Linked DNA regions of Canis lupus familiaris. The protein of the gene in region 4 interacts with the protein of the main gene of each other region in a biochemical or structural test. Links are inferred from orthologs where the notes say so. Each region holds a gene or a part of one and is shown on either strand. Other genes may lie near its edges.

Evidence for each region.
Region 1: the proteins of NRIP1 (region 4) and NR5A1 form a complex in vitro, tested with the Homo sapiens proteins (2 studies listed by BioGRID). The link is inferred for Canis lupus familiaris from reciprocal best matches to the Homo sapiens genes NRIP1 and NR5A1.
Region 2: the proteins of NRIP1 (region 4) and AHR form a complex in vitro, tested with the Homo sapiens proteins (2 studies listed by BioGRID). The link is inferred for Canis lupus familiaris from reciprocal best matches to the Homo sapiens genes NRIP1 and AHR.
Region 3: the proteins of NRIP1 (region 4) and CTBP1 form a complex in vitro, tested with the Homo sapiens proteins (2 studies listed by BioGRID and IntAct). The link is inferred for Canis lupus familiaris from reciprocal best matches to the Homo sapiens genes NRIP1 and CTBP1.

The regions. Positions count from the first base shown.
Region 1 is NC_049230.1:58,543,417-58,548,186, forward strand, and holds the start of NR5A1 (steroidogenic factor 1), read left to right. Parts: upstream 1-1,752; 5' UTR 1,753-1,944; intron 1,945-3,522; 5' UTR 3,523-3,721; coding exon 3,722-3,736; intron 3,737-4,194; exon of another isoform or gene 4,195-4,237; intron 4,238-4,770. UniProt on the Homo sapiens protein: Transcriptional activator. Essential for sexual differentiation and formation of the primary steroidogenic tissues. Binds to the Ad4 site found in the promoter region of steroidogenic P450 genes such as CYP11A, CYP11B and CYP21B.
Region 2 is NC_049235.1:31,790,579-31,795,413, forward strand, and holds the start of AHR (aryl hydrocarbon receptor), read left to right. Parts: upstream 1-1,817; 5' UTR 1,818-1,909; coding exon 1,910-1,974; intron 1,975-4,835. UniProt on the Homo sapiens protein: Ligand-activated transcription factor that enables cells to adapt to changing conditions by sensing compounds from the environment, diet, microbiome and cellular metabolism, and which plays important roles in development, immunity and cancer.
Region 3 is NC_049224.1:91,983,842-91,988,360, forward strand, and holds the start of CTBP1 (C-terminal-binding protein 1), read left to right. Parts: upstream 1-1,501; 5' UTR 1,502-1,561; coding exon 1,562-1,601; intron 1,602-1,835; exon of another isoform or gene 1,836-1,897; intron 1,898-2,511; exon of another isoform or gene 2,512-2,633; intron 2,634-4,519. UniProt on the Homo sapiens protein: Corepressor targeting diverse transcription regulators such as GLIS2 or BCL6. Has dehydrogenase activity. Involved in controlling the equilibrium between tubular and stacked structures in the Golgi complex.
Region 4 is NC_049252.1:12,286,771-12,290,595, reverse strand, and holds part of NRIP1 (nuclear receptor-interacting protein 1), read left to right. Parts: coding exon 1-2,588; 3' UTR 2,589-3,825. UniProt on the Homo sapiens protein: Modulates transcriptional activation by steroid receptors such as NR3C1, NR3C2 and ESR1. Also modulates transcriptional repression by nuclear hormone receptors.

The DNA.
Region 1 (4,770 bases), on a different chromosome or scaffold from region 4:
GGATCCCTGGGTGGCGCAGCGGTTTGGCGCCTGCCTTTGGCCCAGGGCACAATCCTGGAGACCCGGGATCGAATCCCACGTCGGGCTCCCGATGCATGGAGCCTGCTTCTCCCTCTGCCTGTGTCTCTGCCTCTCTCTCTCTCTCTCTCTCTCTCTCTGTGTGTGTGTGACTATCATAAATAAATAAATAATAAATAATAATAATAAAATAAAAATAAAATAGAATAAAAAAAAGATGTGTCAGGGGCGCCTGGGTGGCTCAGTCAGTTGAGTCACCAACTCTTGGTTTCGGCTCAGGTCATGATCTCAAGGGTCGTGAGATGGAGCCCCGGCGTGGGGCTCCACGCTCAGTGTGGGGGTCTGTGTCTCTCCTTCTCCCTCTGCTCCTCCCCCTGTGCTCTCTCTCTTTCTTGACTCTCTCTAAAATAATCTTTTATTTTTTTTGAGATTTTTTTGACTTATTTGACAGAGAGAGCACAAGCAGCTGGAGTGGCAGGCAGAGGGAGGAGAGGGAGAAGCAGACTCCCTGCTGAGCAGGGAGCTCCATCCCAGGACCTCGGGATCATGACCTGAGTCGAAGGCAGAAGCTTCTCTGACTGAGCCACCCAGGTGCCCCTGAAATAAATAAATCTTTTTTTAAAATGTGTTAAGTGGCACAAGAGAAAGATACACTGGGTTTTAGATATAGTTGACTTCAGTTATCCAGAAAATCCCTCCCCCCAAGCCAGGTAAGTGAGGTGTCATACGATGGGCCTGCTTCCTCAAATGGAGGGGTGTGGTGCGGGCTCTCAACACTGATTGCCCCATGGCCCTCAGTGCCTATTGCCAACCCCCAGGACCAATGCCTATGAGGTAAATTGTCCAAGGATAGAGACTTCTTCCCTTTTCCCCAATGCCTGGACCAGTGCCTGGCATCTAGTGTGCACTAAGTAAATGTGAGATGAGTGAAGGAATGCACAAAGAATGATGTCCTTCCGTCATGTAACAGAGGGGTGCAGGGCAGAGCAATCTGGGCAAAGTCCCTTGCCCTCTGCCCTGCCCTATCCTGGCCTAGCTACCCATTTGGCCCCACCTGCAACCACTATAGGCAGCCACCTGGCCCTGGAGGCAGCCTCAGCCCAGCTTCCACTTTCCCAGCCATCCACTGGGAATATCAGCAGCCCCCAGCAGATGGTGACATTCAGAGCAGCCAATGTGAATGCACTCGGGAGGTATTCAGTCAGCTCACCTGCTTGCCTTCCATTCCCTTCTTTCTCTCATCACCTTCTGGAAGAGTAAAAAAGATCAAGCCAAAGCAGAGGAGCCACCTGATCAAGTCATCCATGCCCCTGCCTCCATTCCAGCCCGACCTAACTCCACTCCCATGTCTGGGCCAGGCTGGACCCCGCCAGGCCAGACTCAGGGAGGTAGCCATCCAAGGGGAGAGAGGCCAGGCTGCAGGCCTGGTGGGGGAGCTGCCCATAAATCAGGCCCCACTCCCACCCAGTCACTAACAAGCGGGGCTGCCTAACCGCCTACATGGGGTCCCTGCCTCTGGGCTCCCACAGCGGCCTGGAACAGCCAGCTGGCCAAGGCCTCCAGAGTGCCTTGGCCTCCACCCCCACCGAGGCCCCCAGATAGATAGGGGTATTTTTTTTTTTCTTTTAGGAGAAGAAAAAAATAGACCTAAATGAAGAGAAACACCAACAAAGAAGGAGAGAGGCCCGCAGAGTCACGTGGGGGCAGAGACCAATTGGGCCTCCGGTGGCCGCCCCCCCCAGGGCGGGGAGGAGGAGGACGGCCGGACAGGGCCAGCCTACTGTCCGCCTGCCGCCCGCCGTGGCGTGAAGGAGCTCCTGTGTGCCCACGGTCACCACTGCCCCACCTGGGCTGCCGGAGCTTTCCCCCGGATCCCTGGTGCCCACTGTCCACCCTCATCCGGCGTGAGAGCTCTCCTTCCGCTCCGTAAGTGAGGGCCTGGGCCCAGGCCTCTAATGGCCAGCCTCCCTCCTCAGTGCCTCCCTGCGGCCTGGGCCGGCCGCTGCCCGCTCTGAGTGACTAGTGCCCGCTGCTCTGGGCAGGGAAGGGGCCAGCGATTGCCCCCGACCTACCCTCTCATCATGCTACCCCCTCTTCCCTGGACAGCTGACTGGGAGGAGCTAGGCCTCTGGGGACAGGCCCCATGGGCTCTGCGGTGTCCTGCTGTCTAGGGGCGGCCAAGTGTTCGCAGCACTGTGTTGGCCCGAGCCTGGCAGTCTGTGAATGTGTCCATGGTCCCTGGGCCTGTCTTTGGGGCCTCTCAGGCTCCCCGCCTGTGTGTCTGTGTTGCCTCCTCGGATTTGTATGGATTTGTATGGGTTTGTGTGTCTGTCCCTGATGTCCTTCTGTCAGTCCTCATTCTGTGGCTGGTGCAGATCGATGTTTGCTTCCCTGGGCATGTGGGTGGGGGTGGGTGCAATGGAGCCTGGGTCAGCCTCAGAGCACCCAACCTGGGATAGTGTAGCCTCTGGAGAAGGAGGGGGTAAGATGGAAGTGGGGGGGGGGATCCGGCTCCGAGCCCAGCCCCCTAGACCACCTGGAGTCCCAGCCACACTCCTGCTTACATCGCCTGAGTCTTCCTGTACCATGTCTGGTACACTCCAGCCCTCCTCCTCCAGCCCCTTCACTCCCCTACAGAGGTGGTGCTGCTCCCGTTTCCCACCTTCTGCGGGCCCCTCCCAGATGGAGAGCTGTTCACAAGCAGCACTAGCCCCCCACCTCCAGCTCCTGCAAAGGCTAGTGTTTCTGAGGGCTCGGATGTCGGGAGTCCTCCGCTAAGCTGGACTCGGCTCTCTCCTTTCTCACCAAAATTCGTCCACAGCATCTCACGGAAACTGCAGACTCCCCTCGGTAGGGCTGAACTTTTCCATTTTACGTGCAGACCAACTGAGGCACAGAGAAGGGATGCCACTGGCCCGCCTGCGCAGCGAGCCGGCTGCCTATTCCATCCTTTGTTCCGCCGGGTGTGAGACAGCAGGGGGGTCTGCGGGGTCTCCAGCCTCGGCAGGCGGGAGCGAGGTGCCAACCCAGGCCGCTGGCGGGGGAGGCTCCGGCTGGGGGAGGCTCGGGTCGGGGCCCAGGCCAGGTCCGGAGCCTTCAGATCCGTAGCGGTAGCGGCGCTGCGGGTGCCTAACCGCGGGCCCCACCCCCACCCCCACCCGGCCCCACCCCGCCCCGCCCCGCCCCGCCCCACCCCACGGTGAGGACCCTGCCTTTCTGGCCCCGCGGGTCTCAGTACCGTTCTTCGCGGAGGGGCGGGGGCAAGGCGAGAGCGGGCCCCTTTCTCTCGTCTCAATTTTTTCACCTGAAAAGTGAGAGTGACCAGGTCCAGTCTCCCCCCCGCCCCCCCAGAGCAATTGCTGGGCCTGTCCCAGCCAGGGGTCCCCTTTGTCCCGGGGATGCCGGACTCTCCCTCCCCCTCCCCCAGCCCGGGTAAGGGCTCAGCACGTGATGGGGGGAGGGGTTCCTCTGGTCTCCCGGCTCCCGCGCCCTTGATGGCTTCAGGTCCTCGCCCAACCTCGGAGGATCCCCATTTCCGGCCAAGCAAACTGAGGCCTGCGGTGGAGGAAGGGTCCGGCCCAGGTCTCCCCGCTGGGTGCTGCTGGTCGCTCTCGCAGCGCTGAGGCACGCGCTTCGCCGGCGCCACGTCGGTTCCTCCGGTGCCCGTTCCCGGGGAGGCCCATTCATCATCACCACTTCGCAGATGAGCAGACTGAGGGTCAGTGTGTGCGTGCGCGCGTGTGCGCGTGTGTGCATGTGTGTGTGCGGCGTGTGCGCGCGTGTACATTTGCTTGAGTCTCCCGTGAGGAGACGCGGCAGGGCCAGTGGCTCACCTGGCTCCTGGCCTCGACCCCGTGCCTCGGCCACGGACCCCCACGTCCGCCCTCGCCCGCTTCCGCGCGGCACAACGACCAGCGCCCCCGGCGCGGCCCCTGCCACCGCGGGGCTGGACCAGCAGGCGGAGGCTCGAGGCTCCCGGGCGCCCGGCTCCCGCCCGGGCTCCGAGGCGCTCGGGCTGGGCGCGGGGGGCCGCGAGGGCGGCGGCGGAGGCGCTCGGCGGGCTCGGGGGCGGGCGCGGGCGCGGGCGCGGGCGTGGTTGCGGGCGTGGGCCGGCCTCCGCCCCCGGACACCGCACGCGCTGATATAGGGGGGCCGGCTCCTGGCCCCTGCGAGGCGGGTCCGCGCAGCGCGCGTCGGCGGCGGAGGGCCCGGGCCCCAGGTGCGCCTCGCTGCGGCCCCGGAGGCGGCGGGGGGGGCCGGGGGCCGGGGGCCGGGGGGGGCTGCGGGCCCCGCGCCCCCGCCTCCCCGCCCCGGGCCCGGTCGGCCGTCATCGCGGGCAGGCGGCGCTGCGCCCGGGTGCGGCTCAGCGGCGGCGGCGCGGGGGGCGCGGGGCTCGGGCGGGCGGGACGCGGCAGGTGGGCGCCGGGAGGGCCGCGGCCGCCGTCGCCGTCGCCGCGGCCGTCGCGCCCCTTCTGGCCTCCGGGGTTCCGGGGCCCCGGCTCCGCGCGCCTCCCCGCCCGGGGCCTGCGCTCCCCGCCCGAGGTCGGCCCCGCGGGGACCCGCCCGAGCTCTCCGCGGCCGCACCGCGCGCGCCTCGGCCCGACGCCGGGGGTCGGTGGCTCCGGCTGCGCCTCTCGGTGCCGTCGCTGCGGCGGCCTTTGTCTCCGGCGCGGGGCCCCGGCGGGTCGGAGCGTGCGGCCCGGTCCGGCTGCTCCCCGCCCGCAGGTCCGCCTCCCGGTCGTCCGTCTGTCT
Region 2 (4,835 bases), on a different chromosome or scaffold from region 4:
ATGTAGGAATGTAGGATACGGTGAGAGATATCATCCAGACATCTTAGCCTGGATGCCCTTCTGTTCCCAGCAAGGAAACAGAACTTCTCTGTCTGTGTTCAATATCCTGGTTACCAGCACAGAAAGAGTCAGAAATCTTGGAGCCATTTGAGATCGAGGTCTTTTCATCCCCTGACCCCTCTCCATCATCATGTTTGTTCTTTCTTCTCTGTCCTACTGCCACTTTCCTGGACTTTCACCTGGACTATTTCAACAACTCTCTAATACTCCCCCTGCATGCAGGCTTGCCCTCCTGTAATCCAGTTTGCACTTTCCTCCCAGAGTGACTTTTCTGAGAACCGCAATGGCACTTTTCCTGCTGAATATCTTTTAAAGGCTTCCACTGCGGCAGCCCCGGTGGCGCAGCGGTTTAGCGCCGCCTGCGGCCCAGGGCATGATCCTGGAGTCCTGGGATCGAGTCCCACATCGGGCTCCCTGCATGGAGCCTGCTTCTCCCTCTGCCTATGTCTCTGCCTCTCTCTCTCTCTCTGCATCTCTATGAATAAATAAAGACTTAAAAAATATATTTTTTTAAAAAAAAGGCTTCCACTGACTACAGGATAAACTCTAGACTCTTCATCAAGGCTCTGTGATCTGATTCTAGAATTCCTGAACTTCACTTTCAGCTCCTCTCTCCAATCCTAACAGATTTATTATCTCCAAATGCTCCGTGATTTCCTTCTTCCTTGCTCCCTTTCCATCCCATGGACTATAAAATAACCAAGTTATTCTGACGATAAAATAACCAAGTTATTCTGGCTGGGGAAAAAGATATTGTATTGTCTAGCGTGGAGACAAAAAAAAAAAAAAAAAGGCCAAGCAAACTCTTAGGCTTCAAGTTCAACTCATACGGAGCCTCCGGAACGAAGCCTTCCCCTCTAGGAAAATATGCAGAGTCCCACTGGTTATCGGCCAGCTCGCTGTAATTCTTAGTCAAAGTTCGCTGAGTCACCCTCACAGAGGTGAAGTTACGCTCAGTACTTGGCAAGTCTGTCCTTGAGCTACTCTAGCTACAGAGTTCGGCTCCTACGTAATCAGTTGTCACACCTCTTTTCTGGACTGGAAAGGTTTCCACAGAATCCTCCCCTTGACCTCAAGAAGATGGCTACGGGGGTGGTGGTGGGGGGGGCGTCGTTGCGCCTTACGTCACCACGTACAAGGAGGGTGGGGCCCTCGAGGGACTGGGGTGGAGGGGCGGGGCCAAGCGGGACAGGGCGGGGCTACGGCAAGCTGGGCGGAGCCGGAGACGGGTCGGGGGCGCTGCTGCCGTGGAGCCGGTGTGCGCCGCGGCGAGAGGTAGCGCGGGGAGAGTCCGCTCGACGCCCGGTCCCGAGAACGTGGCCGGGACCACTGGCTCAGAGCGGGGGCAGCCGCGTAGCCGAGCGGAAGCTTGTGGCCCCGGACCGCGGCCGGAGTCCGCGTTCCGCAGGCGGGAAGCACCGGGATAGGGACAGGGGAAGCCCCAGGAGCAGCGCGGCGGCGCCTCCCTTCCCCAGGGGGCCGCGGCGACGGTCGCGGGGCGCGGCGCCGCAGCTCGCGACCCGGGCCAGGATTCCAAGCAGGCGGCCCAGGCTCCTCCCCCGGCCGGGCCGCCTCACCTGCGGACAGCGCCGCGCCGCCTCCGCCTCCGCCGATGTAGAAGGCACCTGCGCCTCTGGGCCCGCGGGTCTCCGCCCCTCGCCCCTCGCCCCTCGGCAGCGGACCCGCGCAGCGCACCTGGACGCGCGGGGCTTCCGGGGCCCGGCGCCTTCGCCACCGCCCGGGGGGACGCAGGTGGAGCGGGCGGCACTGCGTGGAGCCCGGCGCCGGCCGCGGCAGGCGCCCCGGTTCCTGCCCGCTCCCGCGGAGGAGCCGCCGCCCGCCGGGCACCATGAACAGCAGCGGCGCCCACATCACCTACGCCAGCCGCAAGCGGCGGAAGCCGGTGCAGAAAACGTGAGTGTCCGGCGCGCGTCCCCGGCCCGGGTGCGGGAGGCGGCCCCACCCCGCCCCCGATCTTCGCCGTCCAGAGCTCAGGCTCGTCCCCGACGCCGTCTCTGGAACCGAGACTTGGAGGCGGGTGGAGACACCCAGGCCTTTGGTTTTTCCGTTTTTAATCATTGCATTTTAAAAATTGCGCCCCCCACCCGCAATCCGTGGCGCGCGCACACCCTCTCGCACCCCCACCCATCTGCACCTCTGTTCTGTGTTTTTTTTTTTTTTTTTTTCTCTTTTTTTTTTCTGCTCCTAATTTGTTGACAGGTCTAGCCTGCCCTGTGGGGCTCGTGGATTAGTTAACATAAAACCGCCTTGAAATCCCCTTCCCCTTTTAATATCCTCATGGGTTAGGTTAAAGGACGGTTATTATCCTCATTCCTGGTAGGGCCAGATGTTTTAAAGAGCTGAACACGTGCCGTCTGCAAGAAAGGCTCTCAGTTCCTGTGAAGGTACTTTTTGGTCCTTGCAACCGGCTTTTTGGTGCGCTCTTATTTACTTATTTGGCAGTAATTTTGTAGCGCTCAACGTGATCATATCCGTAAAACACATAGAGGTGGTAGCAGAGACGAGTGAATGTCGTGGACAGGAGACAACGGAGGATTTGCATGTTCAGCCACCCCGTTGGGGGGAACTTTCTTACACTTTTGAGACGGTTTTAGGGTCTGGAAATTGAAAGATTTAGAGGTGGAATTATTGAAACAGACGTTTGCATTCTTAGTATCTTTCTCTAATTACCTCCCCCCCCCCCCCTTCAAAGTTTCATCAGTTCTAATAGTGATTAGAAACTTAGGTATTTTGTTTTGGTGAGGTATTTATTTGTGTGAGATGGTAAATAAAATAATGTTTCAAGAAAAAAAAATCTGTGCTTGACACAGATTGACTGCTGCGTGTTGGCTGTATTCATGTGTTTATTACTAATGATGATGTTTGAGTTACTTGACGTTTTTCAAATTTTCATAAACCATTTTAAGAACACAAACGTTTACTCAACGCAAGTCAGAAGTGTGCATTTTGCTTAAGACTTTAATTTAGGTCATTAATGCAGGTCAGAAAAATAAGTTTAAAATTTGTGTTTGGAGCCAGTAACTGGATTTTTCGTTATTTTCGTTATGTTTCATTATTCTGGAGTTTTAATTTCCTTTTAGAATTTCCGTTATTATAGTTCTTCGGATTTAGACTTGGCATTAACAGAGAATGTTAACCTCTAAATACACTGATTAAAATTTGGAAGTCTTATCCTGCAGTGTGGCTGACATTAGGCATAATGCCTAGTCAGCAGTTTTCTGTCTTGGCAGTTCTGTGATACATATTTTGTAGAGTGGCATCTTATATAAAAATGTATTTGCCTAACTTACCCTCATCCTTATTTAAAATTGAGAGGCATCCCAAATGCCTCTTCATGTATTTATTAATATCCTAATACACCTAATATAATATAAAATAGAGATATCATGGGTTTTATCTGTATGGTTAGAAAACTTGAACATATCCCTGATGAATTTTTAGGTTTTAGTCATTGTTGTAAGAAAGGCTGATTTAAAAAACAAAATCAAAAGCCTTAATACTGTATTCATTATAAAGTGTAGCAACTTTGGTTCTAATTAACATTTTATTAAAGATCTTCCCTTTAAACGTATTTTTTTTAATGTAAGATGTACCTTTCATTATTTCATCTTAGTGTTTTAATATACTTCTAAAACTTTTTAATATACTTGTATTTAATAATCTCATAATACAGTATAATTAAAGCATTTTCCACTTTCACCTTAGTCTTTGTTGAGCACCATGCCTTACTGCTAGTCATATAAATACCTTAAAATGTCACTACATTGCTCCCTAAGAAAAGCCTAGTACTGGCATTCACATACAGAATCATATAAAATCGATTATAAGTTATTTTTGCCTGAATGAAAAAAATGGTTTACTTTATAATGCAGTTAATCAAAGTTCATTTTAGGAATGTGGCTGTTAAACCCAATGTTAAATTTAAGTTGAATTTTTGGTTACTATTTCTTAGCTAATGAGGTCTAAAATATGACAGTGTTGTCAGAAAAATACATCTAGTCTGAGCTGAAAATGCTATTGAGATCTATTTAACTTTGATCCCTTAAGTGAGAGTCATTTTATTTTAAAGAAAAAATATGTTGTAATTATAGGATTGTTACTAAGACAGTCATTTTAATACACAATTCCACAGCATCTTGGAACCAAGTAGGTGATAACTTTAACCTGAAGCTCTTCCAGTCCATCTTCAATTGAATTTATTACACTCCCCCTAGTGGCAAGTCTAACATTGAAAATTACCTAATTGGTAGGATATACAACTTTAATGTGTTAAATTTAATCCCACTAAAGTATCTTGTACATAGTAGATGCTCAGTAAATGTTTCATTTATTTTTGGAGTAATTAGGATAGGAAATATAAAGATCCAAAACAACCTTGCACCAGACCTATGTTCCTAAAGGAGTTTTCAAAAGATACACTTAACAGTGGATTCTTTTGTAACTTTCCTTAAGGCGTTGCTCTATATGTAATAACCCTGCTTGGAAGACAAACAATTTTTTTTTTTTTGCTTACATTCTGTTTCTGTTTTCTTTGGAGATGAAAGTATTTTTCTTCATTTGCTTTGTTTTCTTATGAAGATAGGTGAGAAGCACACTATTGAATTAAACAATCTTTTTTTTTTTTCCTAGTGATAACTTTGTATATATTTTTATAGTTTTTAAAGTTTTATTACTACAGGGAAAATTTTATTGCTACTTCAATTTACTGTATTTCTAGAAAATAATTACTGATTGTTGGTAAATAATAGGTGTTG
Region 3 (4,519 bases), on a different chromosome or scaffold from region 4:
TTTTGCAAATAGATACCCAGTTCGCTATTCCCCTTGATTGAATCCACCCACACTTTGTCACCAGTTTATGAATTTTAGAAACAACAGCAGGACTGATAACAGGATTTCAGGATTGCGCACCATGTCCCAGGGAGCCAGCTGTGCAGCCGTCGTGTGTTACTGTGGCTTTTTACCTAAGAGGACAGATACACGGTCTAACCTCACTGCCACCTGAGGACATTCCAGCTCCCAGGACCAGGGTCCCCCAGGGTGGGCCTCAGGCCCTTTCCCGTCACCGGATCGTCTCACCCTTGGGGGCTGGCTAGCCCCCACCCTGGGGGAACCCTCATGACCCTCCCGCAGGTGCCTCTCTGGAACTATAGGCTGCTCACAGGGGGCACTGGGCACCCCGCTTCAGCCACGTCTGGCCACCTCCCAGGTACCCCTCGGCCCAGGAAGTCCCTGCTCAGGCTTCTGGATGCCGATTTCTGGCCTCTGTGCTCTCTGCAGGATCAGGAGGTTCTCCCTGGGGCCTGCCATCCAGGCTGCACCTCCTCCTGGGTCCCAGGAACCCAAGCATAAGGCCAAGTTTGCCCAGGGAAACTCCCAGGGATGCCTGCCTCGGCCTCCTGCAACCCTGTAGGGGCCCAGAGCCCGAAGGCCCGGCAGTGGCACACCTGCTGTGCTTCCTTGCAGTGACCCCGGAACATTTAAATGATCCCTGCCTAGGAGCGTGCTGAGGTGCGGGGGTAGGTGCGGTCACGCTCCACTGTCAGGATGCGGGTGGGGGCAGGTGCGGCCTGGCGAATGCGTGTGCATGGAAAGTGTGTAGATGGCTGTGGCTGTGCCGGTGTGAGGCAGGTACCTGTGTAGGACAGGTTGGGGGGGCGTGTACGCGTGCGCAGATGCAGGACAGGTGTACGCGCGGAGGTGGAACAGGTGGGGCCTGGTGAGTGCCAAGCAGGTGCACGTGTGTGTGTGTGTGTGTGTGTGTGTGTGTGTGTGTGTGTGCAGGGCAGATGGGGCCGGGTGGGTGCGGGGCAGGTGCATATGCGGGTGCAGGGCAGGTGCGTGTGGGTGGGCGCGGGGCAGGTGCGGGTGCGAGCAGGTGAGTGTGCGTGTGTGAGCGCGCCCGCGGGGCAGGTGGGGCCTGGTGGTTGCGGGGCAGGTGCGTGTGCGGGTGCAGGGCAGGTGGGGTCCGGGGGCTGCGGGGCAGGTGCGTGCGTGCGCGCGCGGGGGTGCGGGGCGGGACCTGTGCGGATGCAGGCAGGTGTGAGCAGGCGCGGCGGGCGGGAGGGCCGGGCGGGGCGGGCGGGCCCGGCCTGCAGCCGCCCGCGTGGTGCTGCGCGGCGCTCGCGCCTGGAAACAGGAGGCCGCCGGGCCGGAAGCCCCGCCCGCGCGCGCGCCGCCTGTCCCCGCCCGGTGGAGCGGCTGCTGGCGCGGCGCGGCGCGGCTCGGCACGGCGGCGCCCGGGCGCAGGCGAGCGGGCGGAGCAGCGGACGGCGCCCAGGCCGCCCCACGCGCCGGGCTCGCGGCGGAGCGCGCCGGACTCGTCGGGGCCCGCGGCCGCCCGCGCCTTTCAATGGGCAGCTCGCACTTGCTCAACAAGGGCCTGCCGCTCGGTAAGGCCGCGCGCGCGCATTTCCGGCCGCGGGGGCGGGGCGGCGGGCGGGGCGGGCGGGCGCGCGCGGGCCCCGGCTTTGTGTGCGAGTGCGCGTGCGCGCCGGCCTCCGCGCGCCGCCGGGGGCGGGGCCGGGGCGCCGTGCGCGTGCGCGAGCCGCAGCGTGCGAGTGCGCGTGCGCAGGCGCCGCCGTCACGCCCGCCCCGCCCGCTGCCGCCGCCGCCGCCGCCGCCGCCGCCTCCGCCTCCTCCTCCTCCTCCGCCGCCGCCGCCACCACCGCCGCCGCCGCCCGCGCAGGTGACACAAAGGGGCGCCGCGCTCGGCCCCCGACCCCCCAGGCCAGGCCCCGCCACAGCCGCGGCGCGCCCGGCGTCCGGCCCCGGCGGCCCCACGGCCCCCCCGCCGGCCCGGCCCCCTGCGTCCGGCCCGCGTGCGCCCTGCGTGGGGCCGGCCCGGCCTCCTGGTCGCGTGGGCTCGCCCCGCCCGGGCCCCGGGGCCTCGCCGCGCCCGCCCCCGGCGCCCCCGCCCCCGCGCCCGCTCGCCCGGGACGAGGACGGCCGCCGGCAGCCGCGCCACCTGCCCGCGCCACCTGCCCGCGCCCGAGCGCCGCCGGCCCCGGGGGTCCCGGCTCGGCCCTGCAGCCGCGCCGTCCCCGAGCCCGCGCCGCGGGAGCGCCTGCCCGGCCGCCCTCCTGCCTCCTGCCGGCCTCCCCTCGGCCTCCGCGGGCGCCGTGACGGGCCCACCTGCAGGGAGGAAGCCGGGGCCGACGCGGCGGTGGCTGCGCGGGCCCGGACGAGCGGCCAAGGACCGGCCCTCACGGGCGCCCGCCTGGGCAGCGGGACGGTCGGGCGGCAGGCGGGGGGCGTCCGCGCCGCGCGTTCCCGGGACCGCCCCAGCCGCCGGGCAGCGGTTCCGTCGGGGCAGGATCACGCAGAAGAGCTCGGCAGCAGCTGGGCCCCAGCAGGGCGCACCCCGCGGGCGGTGCGGGCGCCCCGGCTGCGGGGACCCGGCGTCGCGGCTCTGCGTGCCCGAGGTGAGGATGCCGCGTGAGGACGAGGGCCCCCGCGGCCGCCGGCGCTGCCCCTGGCTCGCGGGCACTCGGCCTTCCCCGCGGCCCGGGAGCTCAGGGTGAGCCGCAGTGCCGGGCCCGCGCCCGCCCGCCCGCGGTCTGCCCCCTCCTGCGGCTCCCAGCGCTGCCTGCCGGGCGCTCTGCCCCGTTGCCTTTCTGGGTTTCTTTTCGCCGCGGTGTTTGTGGTCACCGGCTTTGAGCACGTGCTTCCATGTGGGCCTCCGCGAGGCCTTGGGGGGACGCGCTCGGGGTTAGTCTGTGTCTGCCGCGCGCAGGCGTGTACCCTTCAGCCTCCGTGGGGCTGTTTGTGCAGTTCCAGCCTGTCCCACCCGGACGGCTTGCTCTTCCCTCTGCGTTTCTGAGAAATGGACTCGTGGCTGGGGTGACCTGTCTCAGCCCTTGAGCCTCTCTCCTGGCTGCATTTGGGGTTTCCCTTTCGGTCCCTTCAGCTTGAGGACACGCGGGCGGGGGTGCTGGGGGCACAGCAGGCTGCGACCCCGAGCTCTGGGAGGCTGCAGCAGCCCCTTCTGTGGTTAGTACCCGAGGTTGGGCCATCGGGTGAGCTGTCAGAGGTTGGCCGGTGGAACCCTAGTGCGGGGGAGGCACCTCTGCCGGAGAAGGGCCCTTGGGCTTCAGAGGTGGCCTGGCCTTGGCTCCCCAGCGGCCCGGTGGAAGGGGCCAGCAGGTCATGAGCAGAGAGCTGGGCCGTGATGGGGCTTTCTCTGCCACGATCTCGCCTGCCCCTGGAGCGCCCTATGCCAGTGTCCTTGGGGCCTTGCCCAGTCTGAGTAGCTGGAGTGCAGCTTGCTGCTGGCCGCCCGCGGCTCCTGGGCGCAGAGGACCCAGTCGAAGGCTTGTGCAGGCTTTTTATCCTGTGACAACAGCCTCCTCAAAGACTCCTGGCTCCTGAGACCAGGGGCACGAAGGAGGACCCATGGCAGGCTCGGGGGGCAGTCCACAATACACCTGCCTCGGGTTCCCAGAGGGGACTCCAGGAGCTCACTGCGGATCAGCCACGGGCTGCACGCTGGCCTGGGGCCCTCGCCTGTCTGCCCAGACGAGCTGCAGGACACCTGGCGGGGCAGGGTGGGGGGGCATTTTCCACCCAACCACAGAGCTCACAGGCGCTCTTAGTGCTGAGTTGTTTCTGCCTGTGTCACCCTCAGGGTGGGGGTCCCTCACATCCCTGCCAGCCCTGCAGCCTGGCCATAGACAGGCTGGGAGGACGGTGGGCACCTGGCAGGACTGGAACCTGGGACCTTGGAGAAGAAATCCCAGGGGGTCAGCGGGTGGGGCGGGGGCTGCTTTCTGGACCCTCCCCAGGCTTGGACTCTGGCCTGTCAGGAGGCAGGCTCGGTGCCCACAGCAGCTTCGTCCGGCCGCCAGTCCTTGAGTCTGATGTGCGAGGCCTGCCCTAGAGGACGTGTCCCCATATGGGGTCGCCCTGCAGCAGCTGCTGAACGTCGCGTGCGGGAGGGCAGGGAGGTGACATTCCTTGGGTCCCCAACCAGTGTTCTCTGCACGAGGACAGGGTTCTTGTTTGTGGGATCCTGGAGCATCACAGAGCGAGCAGGACACGTGTCAGGGCGCGAGAGAGGACTGTGTGGGAGGCAGAGTCTCGGTGACGAGAACGTGCCTTTGCAGCACATGTGGGGGAGCGGGCGCCTGTTTGGTTTACAATGAGTTGGGGGACCACACGGTGTGGTGCGTGGGTCTGTCCTGCTGGAGTCAGTGTGGCCGCTGGCCTCGGGGTGCCTGGCACTCACGCAGACCCTGCCCCCTGGAGGCCTCCAGACCACGGGCAGCCGGCAGCCGAGGGGAGCCTCACTGCCACCAGCTGGCTGTGCTGG
Region 4 (3,825 bases):
AAGAAAATGGCCAGAAGGAGGTTGGCAGTTTCCAGCTCTCAAAAGGAATGTCAAGCCATCTCAATGGTCAGGCGAGAACATCATCGAGCAAGCTAATGGCGAGCAAAAATACAGCGTTTCAGAACCCGATGGGTGTTGTTCCTTCTTCCCCCAAAAATGCAGGCTATAAGAACTCACTGGAAAGAAACCATCTAAAACAAGCTGCTAATAATAGTTTGCTTTTACATCTTCTGAAGAGCCAGACCATACCAAAGCCGATGAATGGACATAATCACAGTGAGAGAGGAAGCATCTTTGAGGATAGTAGTACCCCTACAACCATCGATGAGTACTCGGATAACAACCCTAGTTTTACAGATGATAGCAGTGGTGACGAAAGTTCCTATTCCAACTGTGTTCCCATAGACTTGTCTTGCAAACATCGAATTGAGAAACCAGAACCTGACCAGCCTGTTTCTCTTGATAATTTAACCCAGTCCTTGCTAAACACTTGGGATCCCAAAGTCCCCACTGTAGACGTCAAAGAAGATCAAGATACCTCAAAGAATTCTAAGCTCAATTCGCACCAGAAAGTGACTCTTCTTCAGTTGCTACTTGGCCATAAGAATGAAGAAAGTGTAGAAAGAAACAGCAGCCCCCAGGAAGTACACGGCGATGTGACCAAGTTCGGTAGCCAGAACTTCGCGAGGACTTCCGTAATAGAGAGCCCCAGTACGAGCAGGACTACCCCCGTGAGCACTCCTCCTTTACTTTCCTCCACAAAAGCAGAGTCTCCCATCAACCTTTCCCAACACTCTCTGGTCATCAAGTGGAATCCCCCACCGTTCGCCTGCGGCTCCCAGGCTGAAAAGCCAGCGACCTCCGCGTCGAACCCCCTGATGGACCTTACAAAGAGCAAAGACCCGCTGGGAGAGAAGCCGGCCCACAGCGAGGGCGCACAGAACTCCGCGACCTTCAGTGCCAGCAAGCTGCTGCAGAACCTGGCTCAGTGCGGAGTGCAGGCGTCCGCCCCGGGAGAGGAGCAGCGGCCTAGCAAGCAGCTGCTGAGCGTGAACGCGGACCGGCCCCTGGGCATGGTGGAGAGGCTGAGTAGCCCTCTGCTCTCAAACAAAACCAACGCGGCGGAAGACAACAGGGCGTTCGGCAGTCCAGCGGCAGGCCCCGAGGCGGGACTTTCTGGCTCCGAGATCGAGAATCTGCTGGAGAGGCGCACTGTCCTCCAGCTGCTCCTGGGGAACCCCAACAAAGGGAAGGGCGACAAGAAAGACAAGACTCCTCTGAGAGATGAAAGTGCTCAGGAACACGCGGACAGGGCTTTAAGCGAACAGATACTGACGGTGAAAATAAAATCCGAGCCCTGCGATGACCCGCGCAGCCCCAGTCCGAGCGTGCGCCTGAGCCCCGACGCCAGGGGCGCCCCGTTCCCAGGGGCGGCGCCTCCCGCGCAGAGGAGCGCGCCCGACGGTCTCAAGGCGGAGCCCGTTTCACCGCAGGATTTCTCCTTCTCCAAGAACGGCCTGTTGAGTCGGCTGCTGAGGCAGAACCAGGAGAGTTACCTGGCGGAGGAGGGGGACGGCAGCCGCAGGAGCGGGGAGCTGGCGCTCCTGGAGGCCAGGACCCTCTGCGTGGTCCCCAAGAAGAGGAAGCTTTATAGCGAGCCCTTGGAAAACCCGTTTAAAAGGATGAGGAACAGCGTAGCTGACGCCGCCGACAGCCACGGCGCCCCGGAGGGGCTGTACGGGCCCCCGCTGAGCCAGCAGGAGCTGAAATGCAGCAGAAGTGATCTTGAGTTCAAATTCCCCGGCAGCCAGGGCCCCGCGGGCGACGCCGAGCACCGCGCGTGGGCCCGAGAGAGCAAGAGCTTCAACGTCCTCAAGCAGCTGCTCCTGTCGGAAAACTGCGTCCGGGATCTGTCCCAGCACAGGAGCGGCTCCGCCGGGGAGGGCAGGAGGAAGGGACACCGAGGCGCGGCGGGCGGCGGCAAGCCCGAGCTGAGCATTCCGGCCCTCGACGGGCTGCTGTACGGCCCCGCGCAGCCCGGCGGCTGCGGGGACAGCAGGACGGGCCCCGGCCCCCGCCCGGGCCCCGGCCCCGGCCCCCGCCCCCGCCCCTGCCCCTGCCCGGCGCGCGCCCCGCCCAGCCCCCCCTTCCCCGAGCCCGGGGGCTGCGCGGGCTCCAGGCCGGAGCCGGGGCCAGCGAACGGCTGTGCGGGCGGCGCCGGCGACAAGGGCCCCATTAAGTGGGTCATCGCCGACGCGGACAGGAACGGGTACGAGAGGGACTGCCCGCGGCTGACCAAAACCAACCCCATCCTCTACTACATGCTGCAGAAAGGGGGCGGCCCCGTCGCCGGCCGGGACACGCAGGACAAGGACGCGTGGGGGGAGCCCTCCTCCGCGGAGAGCGTCGCGCAGGTCACGGTCAAGGAAGAGTTCCTCCCCGCGGCGGAAACCAGGGCGGCCGGCTTCAGCCTGAGAGGCCCCTACAGCAGCCCCCCGGGGAGGAGCGCCCCTCGCCCGCACAGCGCGAACGGGGAGGGGTACGGACTGCTGGGAAACGTGCTGGCCATAAAGAAAGAAGCCGAGTGAAATGTACCCGCCATCCAGCTCCCGATCTTCTCTTTCCTTGTCTTTTCTTTTCTTTTCTTTTTTTTTTTTTTTTTTTTTTTTTTTTGCAAACTGCTTAGTATGAACTTGCGACCTGTATAAATAAGAGCATGATTTGAGAAAAGCATGGTATAACTGAAACTTTTTTCATTTCGAGAAGTATTGGTTGCTGGTGATGTCTAAATATGCACACTACTTTTTTGCTTTACGTTAGATGTCATGAGGAAACTACTGAACTAGCAAATTGGTTGTTTAACACTCTGTATGCACCAAACAACAACTGTGAGTAGCCTATGAATGAAAAATCTTTTATAATCCAGTAATAGGCGTAAATTAAAATGTAAATCTCCATCCATAGTGGATTAATGCATTTTGCTGCCTTTATTAGGGTACTTTATTTTGCTTTTCAGACGTCGGCCTACATAACACATTTGTTTTTAAATCCAAATTGTTCAATGACTCTTTAAATATTAATCGTTGAATTAAAAAAAAGAACCTAATTCACTTCTCATTATCCGATTCAGAAATAAATTAGAAAAAATAGGCTTACATTTTTCACTTTTGCTAAAAAAAAAAAAAAAAGAAGAAGAAGAAGAAGACGTATTTATTTTTAACTCTTGGAAGGGGTTTTGTGGTTCCCAATGTGTCTGCCCCACCCCAGTCCTTTTCAATATGTATTTCTTTAAACCTTGTACTACTTAGTAAAAATTGATTACAATTGATGGAAGTTTGATAGATCCTTAAAAAAAGGCAGATTTCCATTTTTGTATTTTAGCTACTTTACTAAATTAATATTCCTCCTTTTACAGAATTAGGAAAGTTAACCATTTACCTTCAGGTGGTTTCCTGAATAGTTGACTATTTAAGAAGTTGTTTTTAACAGAAGCAAAATGGCTTTTCTTTGGACAATTTTCACCATCTCTTGTAAAAGTTACTTCTCACCATTTCTGTGGTACCTGTGAGTCTTACGACCAGGGTTTCTTAAAAGCTGGACTCAGACCACCTGCATTAGAATCATCTGGAGCACTTGTTTTAAAATGCAGATTCCTAGGCAGCATCTCAGATCTACAGATCAAGAATCTCTGCTAAGTGGACCTGGGAATCTCCCAGCTGCATCTTAACACACTTCCTAGATGTTTCTTCTGCACACTCAAGTTTGAGAACCATTGCTTATGACTTTTCTCAGAACACAGGACTGTAAAAAACAAACAAACAAAAA